Linked DNA regions of Neodiprion lecontei. The protein of the gene in region 1 purifies or fractionates together with the protein of each later gene. This does not show direct contact. Links are inferred from orthologs where the notes say so. Each region holds a gene or a part of one and is shown in the gene's direction. Other genes may lie near its edges.

The links.
Region 2: the proteins of selenoprotein S (region 1) and derlin-1 purify together in Homo sapiens (affinity purification with western blotting; 6 studies listed by BioGRID and IntAct, with this or other methods). This does not show direct contact. The link is inferred for Neodiprion lecontei from reciprocal best matches to the Homo sapiens genes SELENOS and DERL1.

What each region holds. Positions count from the first base shown.
Region 1 is NC_060263.1:27,349,645-27,354,351, forward strand, and holds selenoprotein S, read left to right. Parts: upstream 1-1,991; 5' UTR 1,992-2,205; coding exon 2,206-2,236; intron 2,237-2,645; coding exon 2,646-2,789; intron 2,790-2,960; coding exon 2,961-3,067; intron 3,068-3,261; coding exon 3,262-3,391; intron 3,392-3,603; coding exon 3,604-3,686; 3' UTR 3,687-4,180; downstream 4,181-4,707. Other genes in the region: kanadaptin, read left to right, coding at 1-192, 378-866. UniProt on the Homo sapiens protein: Involved in the degradation process of misfolded endoplasmic reticulum (ER) luminal proteins. Participates in the transfer of misfolded proteins from the ER to the cytosol, where they are destroyed by the proteasome in a ubiquitin-dependent manner.
Region 2 is NC_060262.1:20,812,164-20,819,075, reverse strand, and holds derlin-1, read left to right. Parts: upstream 1-1,728; 5' UTR 1,729-1,887; coding exon 1,888-2,326; intron 2,327-3,114; coding exon 3,115-3,422; 3' UTR 3,423-5,972; coding exon of another isoform or gene 5,973-6,244; 3' UTR 6,245-6,292; downstream 6,293-6,912. Other genes in the region: probable tRNA N6-adenosine threonylcarbamoyltransferase, read right to left, coding at 5,973-6,244, 6,325-6,503. UniProt on the Homo sapiens protein: Functional component of endoplasmic reticulum-associated degradation (ERAD) for misfolded lumenal proteins. Forms homotetramers which encircle a large channel traversing the endoplasmic reticulum (ER) membrane.

The sequences.
Region 1 (4,707 bases):
GTAAAAATGAAAATTGAATTGCAAACACTTAGAAAGGAGGAGAACCGATTAATAAATTTAGTAAACATTGCTAAGCCTGCTAATTTACCACCACTAAAAACCCAAACATCCTTGGAATCTACTGATCCAGAGAACGTACAAAGTGCAAAATCACTACCCATGATCGGCAGTAGGAAAAAATTTAAAGTCCTGGTAAGTTTGAGTCCTCGCCTGGTCCTTTACATTCCTGATTTAGTTCGAATTTTACTCATACATGAATTTTAAATCCTAAATCTGATGATTCGTAACTTTGTTTTGAAAATTATAATAATGAATGAACTGTTGATTATTCAATATCAAAAAAATTAAGTAATTGAAAAAACTTTTATTGCTTTCAGAAAAGCGGCATAAAATCTGTTGGAAGCTCACTAAGTATTACCCACAAAGCAAATGAGGCAGATGAAGATGATGATAAATCAGAGAACGAAAAAGAAGTTATTAATGCAAGATTAATAGAGGCTTATAAGTTGAATCTGACAGAAAGTTGTTCGCTTGGTGATGGCGAATCTACTGAAACTGGGAGTAGTATTTTAGAAAGTGATAATAGAAGGGAATCTGACGAAAATAATGAAGAACAAAACCGTATAGACTGCTCTTCTGAAGCCAAATTATTAGCAAAAGAAGATAAATTGAGAGAGGAAGTTGATGTGCAAAAGCGAAAGCGGAGAAATCAGAAAAGAATACAACAAAGGTTGGAGAAGGCGGAGAAGGACAAGCAAAAAGGTTACGAACAAGATACATACAAGGAGGATTACTCAATGTGGGTACCTCCAGAAAATCAAACTGGCGATGGAAAAACTAATCTTAATGATAAGTTTGGATATTAATCATTTGAACTCTTGTATAAAATTCAACCAGCGACTAAAACTACGTAGATAATAGCTGCGTATCATTAAATTTAACTTATTTGACAGTTAGGTAGCACTTTCCATCTTACATGGAACTTGTTAATTTATGAATTTATAGACGTGTCACTACATGAGAATAATACACAATAGCTGTAAATTAGGGATAAGAGTAGCGAGTAATGCATTTACTGCGATCATATATCACATAATCATTTTGTACATATCAACGATTTTTTTTCGTTGAATAAAGGGATTCGTTATGAAACATTTTTATCTATATCACTTGACTTTAATCATTGCTGCTACTGTTGTCTATTTTATTGTATAATATGCTGCAACTGCATGTAAGTAAAATCTGATGAAGACTATAAACTATAAATACCTGAGGGAAGAATCAACAGAAGATATCCGTAGCAGCTGTAGTAAGTGGTCCCTATAAGGCAGGTTCGCATTATCACAAACGTTACACTAATAAACAACTGGGATGATGCAAAATAATCCATAAAACACCGAAGCCGATTGTGAAATGTTATGTAAATCTTTGAAATATCTCAGTATTTACAGGAACGAGTTTCAATTGCATTAGGTAAATGCCGTTTGATTGTAAGTCGGCAAATAGTAATGTGAATATTATAACTTTTAAAGAAGCACATATTAAATAAACAATGAACAATAATTCAAGTTCAAGTACTCGTTTTATTTTTTAGACCGGACTATTGGGATATACCGAACGATATCACTCGATGCACTCACTTCACAAGGTTTATTTAATTGAAGGTTTAACATATAGGTGTGATAGAAAACTAATTCAAATTTCCCCGCAATAGAATTGCAAGCATTTCAACCAGCATAATAGAGCGAGAACTCAGCGAATCAGAGCCTTCGCGACGATCGCTCTCCGGTGTCGCTGCTACACTGAACTCTATTGCTAGATTTCCACGGGCAGCATTTTGCTACCGCGGCGCCACCAAGCGGCATGCTGCAACAATTGCCCGTGCTGTTCCGTGTCGTCAGTTTTTCGCTACCGCAGCATTTTGCTGCTCGTGAAAATCTAGCCTATGGTCACTGCGCCTTGCTGATTGCTACGGCTGCGTTCAAAACTCTCCCATTCTTCGATAAAAATTACAGTAAAAGCCATAGCAGCACAGCGACCATTTACGATGAAAATGCAGTATGATATTAGCAAGCATGGCGATGTGCCAAGTTGTTGAATGTCATCATAAACGAAACTGACGCTGGTATAACGTGACTTACGTGACGGCTGTCAAAGACTCTTCAATAGCGGCTGGATCCGCGAGAATACGCGAAACCTTCCAAAATGTACAACGCATATTCGTTTGTGGAAAGTGGTGCGTATTGAATAGCAGTACAGTTCTTATTACCATTTTCACAGTTAGGGCTTGAGGCTAGGTTAGGTTTGCTGACGTATTTTTACTTGTGTTTCTATAACACTTTCATCCATAGAATCTGTAAATAAGTGCATAAACTCAAGTAAACAAAGTACGGTAATTTTTCTCTAGGGCTTTTCTTCATTGGACGTTTGTTTGTTGTTAATCTTGACTTCATTCCTGTCTTCATAACTATATGTGTACTCATTTTTATGATACTATGAAATCGTAAGTTATGACGAAATATCGTACTGGAGGCATGTACCGAAGATAGGCAAACATAGCTTACAGTAATTTGAATTGAAACTACCTTGTTCTACGACTTTCATTGGCTATTAATTTCTATAATTTGATCTTTTCTTTTCATTAGCGTGGGAGGCGATCATTCCATTTGGGTGGTATGCAGTTGCATCTATAGTTGTTTTACTCTACCTTCATCCATATATCAAGAAAACGTATAATAGTTGGAGGCAAAAAAGAGACGAATTCGAATATTCAGCAAAATACCATAAAGGTAAGTAAAAATTTAAGTCATGCAATGATTTTTAGCTAAATTATTAGTAACTGGTCTATAGCCGTTCCGTTGCATCTTTCATTTCTTAGCCTTTGAGTTTATTTTCTGTAATTTCGAACCCATATGTTGTAATTGTGAATTTAATGAGTACCAGTTTTCTCTTCTCCCTAGACTCTGATATGTTACAACAGAGACAAGCTGCAATAGAAGCTGCACGATTGAGAATGCAGGCTCAATATATGCAAGATGCTGAAAAAGCAAGACAGCGAGAACAAGAGGTAGTTTGTTAAAACTTCTATGGATAAATGTAGACCATGTAAAAGTGTTGTTTCATTTCTATCTTCTCAGTTTATCTTGTTTGGTATTAAAAGTGAATTGTAGAAGTAAAAACTCTTAATTCCTTGTCTAGTAGCTACATTTTCATATCCAGTGTTACGCAATTAGTTATAATTAAATTATTGGACGTTTACAGCGTATTGAAAAGAAGCGACAAGCATTGAAGGAGCTTACAGAAGGAACAGATGTCGGTAAAAAATTGGGATATGCAGATGGCAATGATTCTGCATCAGGCTCAAAGTCCAGTTCAAAGTCACTCAAATCAGGTAAATATGTAGATTCTAACTCGAAACGGTTATCCCAGATGTTAATATACATGAGTATTGAGCTTGTAATTTCTCTTCCAGACAGAAGTATACAATTAATTCAGAGTTAATATGTATGATGATCCATGATTACGAAGCATAGATATTTTTGCAACTCAACAATAATATTTTCGTGCAATTATAGGTATCTAAATATTTGTTATTTTTCATAGAATACAATCCTCTGATGGGTGAAACCAGTCGTGGTTATCGCGCACCAAAAAGAAGTTGCTGTGGAAAAGGTGGCTGTGGTTAATTTTCACACTTTTAGACATCAATCATTTATACAAACTCAATTAATAACCTAAGACTTGGATGATCTATCACGCAATCGATTCTAATTATATCAATCTAAAAGTAATATTACCTAATTGATTTGTCACTGTATGGTGGTTATTTAATAAATCCTTAAATTCAAAACCGTATTATCAAGCATAATAAATTACAGGTAACTTGCTCTTTCTTGTTCTTTTTTTTTTGATACGAGATGAGTTTAAGTGGTTGGGCGACTCTTCTGATAATTTATGTAAAATGTTTTGTTATTTCTTCGATTGATCTTCAGATTTTTATGAATTAGTATTAAACGAAATCACAGAAATACTCCATATTTACTTGATTTGTATTCTCGTATTTCACTACAGTTTCAGAATCTAACATATTAACTCGAGATAGAATACACTCTATTTTTTAATTTCATCAAATTACTGTACAAATGAAACATAAGTGCAATAAAGAGGTGTAAAAAATCTTCACACATGGTTATTTTTCTTCATTACCTGTATATAATCTGCTATTTTCAACGTAGGTAATTTTTTTATGGTTTCGTTGCATTTTTGGCTGTCGAAATTTTGGAGAACTGTGCTGTTTTTCCAATAATAGTCAAAGTTTTAACGAAACTGATTGCTTGTGTTATATTGGTTTCATACATGGTAATTTTGTAGATGTACAATTATTAATAGACTCATATAATTAAATTTATATCACATACCTGTGGTAATTTACGCCCGGTACAAAAGAATGTAGAAGTCGATGTCGGTTTCTTGAGCTTCGATTTAACGCGATGAACGTTTACTACGATTTTTTTCTAACATTACTTTTATTAATCATTATCGGTATAATATGCAGTGATATATATACGTAGTACTTGACAATAGCGATTGTTATAAATTATCTACAATTTTGTATGTGTATTTGGGTGTGTAGTGTATGTATGTATGCTTGTTGTGTGTGTATTTTCATGGTTAGATGTTTTTTAGCCGTCATAACTATAAAAGTTT
Region 2 (6,912 bases), on another chromosome or scaffold:
CCAAAGTGTGATCTGTGAAGAATGTCATCAATAACTTTGCAAATGTTACTGCCGTTTAGAGTGTCGAATACGACATTAAAAAAGCAAAATTCAACTGGATTCTAAGATAGAGCCCGACTGTAGATTAATCAGCGTTTAAGGTAATTTTAGAGTATAGCGCCGCAAAGTAATTTAGTGTTCTCAGATTCGTAGAGTGTCATTTTCACCTCCGATTTATGGTTTCAAATTTGATTCTTTTTATTCTCCCTATGAACCGGAGTCTATCTCATCTTTTCAGATTTTCGACAGTCCGATTTTAATACATAGCGTCATTTTTAATCCGGTTAATGTATCAGCCGAACGGTCACGCCCCACGCACCACTCACACTGCCTCTTTCTTGATCGACCCGCGGCTTCAAGCGCGGCTTCAAACTCATATGACAGACGCCATTGTACACACAGTAACTTGTTTCAAAAAATATCTAGCTCGATATTCAGCCACAACGTCAGATAACGTTTTTAAATATTCTTATTTTTCTTCCTTCTTTTTTGCTGTTGGCTATGTCCCTTACGGCATTGTGCCAATATACAAATACCGTCATCATCATCATTATCATAAAAATTTTAATTATATTTTTAAGATGCATACCTACAGCGTTTTTCACTGGCTCTACCTTGGCCCTAGAAATACCTATAGACATGAAGGAAGCCCTGGTACACTCTTCCGTATGAGCGGAAAACGATATAGAGAGAGAAGTAGTAATGCTACATCCTTTCTTTGTCTCGCAGGATCCGATTGGCCGACTCTACTGATCTCTATTAGCGTTTTCCACTGGTTGCACTGAGTGCGCACTGGTTCGAACAGGGGGCACTCGTTCCGTGCATGCGTCGCCCGGCATCGGGGCAAACCTTCTGAGTGGAACGCCGTAAAACGTATAAAGGCAGACTAGATCATAATTTCTCCTAAATCACAAATAATGTGACGTTACTCGACCGACTGCGCGACTATCAGTTTTTTCAAGCAAGTGATAAAGAAACCAATTGAACAAACGCAACGGTAATTTTTTGTTTGTAAATAAATGTCATAAATGTTAGGCACGAGCATACAAGGGCAAAAAAAATGGACAATTCCACTGAAAAGATAAAAATTAATAAGTAGCAAGTCAAGTTGTCCCAATCTCCTGAAATATACCTAGCAGTTAACCTCTAAAAGCTGAAAAAATGTGTTTCCATACTTCGATATCGGACATGCTGTGGATTACTCCTATGAAACTTAAAATTTTGGGAATCTCTCCTCTATCTTTCGGCTCCAGCAAGTCCATCATCACTGCTAGACGAAGATGAAATTAGATCTAATAAAAGAGTTGCTGTCACAGCATCTACTTAGACTCTTTCACGATCGGCAGCCATAATTGCACTGCTTTGACACCGACTCCCGATTTCAGGGCAATATTTTACGCACTCAGTGCTAAATTCACGCACCCGAGCTGCCAGTGGAACACGCTGGAAATACAAATCTACCGGTAGTACGCTCTCAGTTCACACTCAGTGCAACCAGTGGAAAACGCTATAAGTGGAAAACGGCAGTACATGCTTTAGAAGCAGAGCTACTCACGAACTTGGAAGCGCAAAGGAGATAAATGGTTGTTGGCAGCACTGGGAGCTAATTTCGGAACGCACCATTTCTTTCATCATCACTTAAGGCATGGAAAACAAGTAGGTTTCTTCTCTTGGTATAGTTTAGATCAACCGTGTCTTATGCATTAGCCAATGCTGCAATTTCGGAGTAATCGTTGTCGGCAGCGAAGTGGTGGATTTTGTCATCTGACGGTTTAATACACAATCGTCGCGGTTTTTGGATTTGTGCCGTACATCAAAAAGTGGTTGAATAGATAATACGGTGCAAAAATGTCAGAACTGAGAGAGTGGTTCAATGCCCAGCCATTATTTACTAGATGGTGGCTTCTTTTATCCGTGGGATGCTCTCTTTTGGGAAGATTCGGTATTTTCAGTCCGGAACGACTCGTTTTATTCTACATTCCATTCGTTCACAAATTCGAGATATGGAGAGCCGTTACCAGCGTATTTTATTATCCCCTTGGACCAACAACTGGGTTTCACTTTATGATCAACTGTTATTTCATCTACAACTATTCTGTAAGGCTCGAACGTGGCGAGTATGATGGACGACCAGCTGATTATTTCTACATGCTTCTGTTTAACTGGGTTTGCTGTGTCATCGCTGGACTCTTTGGAGAATTCCCACTTCTCATGGACCCTATGGTACTCAGTGTACTCTACATATGGTGTCATCTCAACCGAGACACTATTGTCAATTTTTGGTTTGGTAAGAAAATAGATGCATAAGACTTAATGTCGCTCCTTATTTTCAAACTTGTTTTACTTAATATTGATCGGCAAGGTTAGCTGTAATCGTACACCAATTTATTCCATAAGTTACCCAACACATTCCCTGTAGAATAATGATATTCTAGTTTGCTGTGTTAATGTAACAAACGTAATGGCAAAATATTTAGCTACTGCAGTTGGTTGAATGGTTTACAAAATGCCTAAAAAAAAATATCCAAATATCCAAAACCCAATTTGAATTGTTCCCATATTTTGAAAGTCCACAGGTGTAAAAGTTAGCGTAATGGGTCAATAGTCTATTGATTTTTTTGATTTTCATCATTCTTAAAACAATTGATTGCATTGGGAATTCTAAAACCCTATTTGTTTGATTTTCGAAATATGCTGCATAAAAAAAAAAACAGTTTTGTCGTAGTAAAGATTGGACAATTGGGCGATTCAAATGAATTTTTTTTATTTTATAAATAATTTCATTATCAAAGCATGAAACAAGCAAAAATCTTAAGCAAAAACTTGTAGTATCTATCAAAGTGATAATAAAATTTTCACTCTTTTCTTTATCAGATAGCATACTTGTAAATAAAAGCTACATTCACTATTTATTCATACTACAATATCGAGCAGGATTTCTGCCGTGTTTTGTCACAGAAATGTATGACCTATTATCTTGTGTTATTCACCTACTGTCCCGATTTACTTATTTTAATGTGGAGTTTAAATAAAAAAACAAGAAACACAGAAAACAATGTGATATTGTCATTACAGGGACGCAGTTTAAAGCAATGTATCTGCCATGGGTTCTCTTTGCTTTCAATCTTGTGATATCTGGCGGTGGAATGTTGGAACTGGTTGGTATTCTAGTGGGACATTTGTACTTCTTCCTGAAGTTTAAATACCCTCAAGAATTCGGAGGTCCAGATTTATTGGCCACACCTCAATTTCTCGAGGCTTATTTCCCTCCTTCAAGACTCAGAGGGTTTGGAACCGCTCCTTCACAAAGGGAACCACAGAGACCGGGCAGAAATATGTATGGTGGTTATCAATGGGGACGTGGCCAGCCTCTCGGCCAGTAATCAAGGTGTATACCTAATTAAACCAAGTTTACATCTGTATATTTTATGAAGAGTGAGTGTACAAGTATACCAAGAAACTGGGAGTAAATGAAACATACTATGTACAGGATGACACCGGACTATCGCCCCATAGGCTACCCATGTGTTCCTTGTGAAAATCTGAGGTTAAAAAATTTTTTACTTTTTTATAGAAAATTTATTCTTTATAAATTACAACCACTTCACATTAGCCAATCCAGTAGCATTTAATGGCTCAGAATAGGATTGCTAGGGCTGGCGAAACCCCATTTATTTGTTGTGCACTCAGCAGCTGCCCTGAGCCATCAAGTGCTATCGAATTGGCCAATTTCAAACAGTAATTTACAAATAACAAATTTACTATGAGAAATATCATTATAGTCGCAAATTTTCATGAAGAATACAACGGTAGCTTATGGGGCAATATTTCTAGATCACCCTATATACATACACATATGCATGTATATATTCGTGTATACGATATATATTTCTGAAGATAGATAGTTTTTTTTCTACTTTCTCAACTTTAAAAATGATAGAGTTAATTTAATGCAGTATGAAAACATTATTTCGAAGTTGCCTGATTAGTTTTCCATGGTAAATGGTGGTACAATTTGTTATTTGAAGATAATTAAGATTTATGGGAATATCTCAATGTTGACCTGTTATATGTTGATAAAATTAATTATATCAAATTTAATAATATACCTACCAGTTTTTGCTCGAGTGCTTGCAAAGTAAGTTTCTGGAACTAGAGAATTCTGCACTACAGTACTTCCAACAAAAGATAGTTCCTTTCTTCACTCTGATGGTAAAGCACATTTAATAAATACAATAATGCTCAAATAACAGGGTCAGGGTAACCGCTGGCTACTTATTGTGAGTGAGTGGGGGTGGGGGGGCTCTGCATAATTAAGTAAGAAGTTATACACGGATCAGTATAATTAGTATTTATGTTTGTCGAATGATTACTAAAATGAAGCTTAGCATTGAGATTTTGTTAATCGCTGCTTGTCAATTGTGAAAAATTAAATGCAATCTTGTCATTGCATTTTCAATTGTTAAAACAAACTTTCGATTTAATGAATCAATCTGATTTAGAAAATATGCGTATTGCTTTATATTAACATCAAAGAAGGTAGCAATTTGGAACGGATCTCGGAAAACTTGTCTCGTTCACTTCCTGGTAAATACCTACTTATATTGGACAGTTTGAATGAATCTAGAAAAATACACAATGATTTTAAACGATATATCACTTACACGTATTTATGTGTACCAATATCATATGAACATTAAGTGTCAGTAATAATATTCAGGCTGGTGACAGATGAGGAAGACAGGGAATTATGGTACTCCAAACGTAAGATGTCTTTTTCAAAAGTCTTCACCTTCAATATTCAACTTGTTTTTGACAAATTTAACAAATAATTCTGTACCACATGTCAGTACAGTATTGTAGACTATTATTTAATAAGATAATGGCAATCAAACAAAACTGAATGCTGGCCTGTGTACAGAAAGCATAAAAAATACGGCAGGAAGTCTGGAAATTTGATATTTATCTGTCTTGTCACCGCTATGAAGTTTTTGCTGTATCATGTACATAAATGTATATTTTATTATAAATATAATATATTAGGTACAGAATTCGTGAATAAACGTGGATATCTATGTATGTTTGTCACACATTATATACAAATGTACAGGTATTGATCCAATTGTTTATCAAAGCAAACTTACTTGCGTTATATACAGGGTGAGTTTTCTCCGGGGTCTGATCTAGGAGGAGCTTGGATATGTGAGAGTCCGCCTTCTTCTATTCATACTCGTCCTGTGTCAATGCTTGTATCCCGCTATCAAAACAATCCCTCATGTGAGTAGATTGTATTTCGGATGTGTGCTATACGTGTGGACGTAAACAGATTTAGAGATAAGCGTATCTGCTCTATAATCACACACTATTATTTTGAAGCGGACGAGTATGAATAGAAGTCGGACTCTCAGCACATCCAAGCTCCTCCCAGATCAGACCCCGGAGAAAACTCACCCTGTATATACTATACATATAAGTTGCTCATTTTATTCTTGAAATTCTCATGCAATAGTAGTTTTTGAACCAAAGCCAGAAAGTTGTATGGCTTTGGTGTGAACATTATTTTTTTTATGTAAAAGCCGTAAGATACGCCATTATGGTCGCGTTTTCCGACCCTACAGTTGAACTTGTGCTCAATTGAACACGTCTCTGTATAAGGTTCAATTTTATGGCAGCAAAATGCAACCATACTGGCGTACTTTATGGCTACTAAATTGAAAAGTTCATAACATTGGCATCTGTGATAGTCTGCTACGCCAAACTGCGGACAGCGCTTGAACCATCAACAGTGAGGTCATTCTGATAGAACCAGCCAATAGAGCCTCTCACTGACCCTACTGGCATCAATTTTAATTTTCTCCACCTGACAGCGAGATGTAGGCCACGCCCCTACCACACATCCAATTATGTAATATTTCGTTCTTACGCCTCAAGACTCAAATTCGCCAAGCTACATGCACAGCATCTGTTCTGTATCGTTGAACGCAGGTGGTTTGATGCCAGGGTGTGGGACCACTCGTGTTGAATTGTGATAAACCGGCAACAGCTATCATCACTCCATTGTCAATACAAAATCGTTCGTCAGTTGCATAAAGGGTAGCGTTTCTTTCCTCACACATCTCAGCCATCATTTTCTGCAGTCTTAAATTACAACCGACACCACCAACTATAAGAACTTCGTGCGATCCTGTGTGTGCCATAGCTCGTTCTGTTAGATAAACAAAATAAACGGTTTGATGTCAAGTTAAAAAGTTAATGCATTTTTTTCTTGTCAGCTTATTTAATTACCTGTTATTTCTATCAACATTGCAAATAAAGTTTCTTGTAAAGAAAAGCATAGATCTGCGTTTGTATATTCGCCATTCTTCAACCATTTGGGTAGTCGTTCTTCAATGTGACTCAAGATACCAGAAAATGACACGTCCATTCCTTTGACTGTATATGGCAGTGGCGCCAGTTTTTGACCTCTGTTGAAATAGAAAATGGCATTCATTAAATGAATGAAGAAAAGTGTCATAATTAGCAGAGATGTGTCAGAAATTCTCAATCTTGAGTTACTAGGCATGCATAGTACTCGTAGAGAAAAAAATGCATACGCAAATTTGAAACATAAATTCCGCATATGCTCATGTACATAGTTTTTTGGAAATACGGACTTTTGTCATTGAAGCTTATAAAAAAATTGACTAACCAAATTTGCAAAAGTGTTGGCAAGTGAATTTTTTGGTTGCAAACCCGTTGGACCTTCCAGTGTATGAATGTCGAAGAATTTAATCAAAAAATGTAATTAAACAGAGTAGGTTACGAAGTATCTTGTGAATCGTTATTATATAACACAATGTGAAATGCTATAGTCGATTGAAAGTGCTATTGATC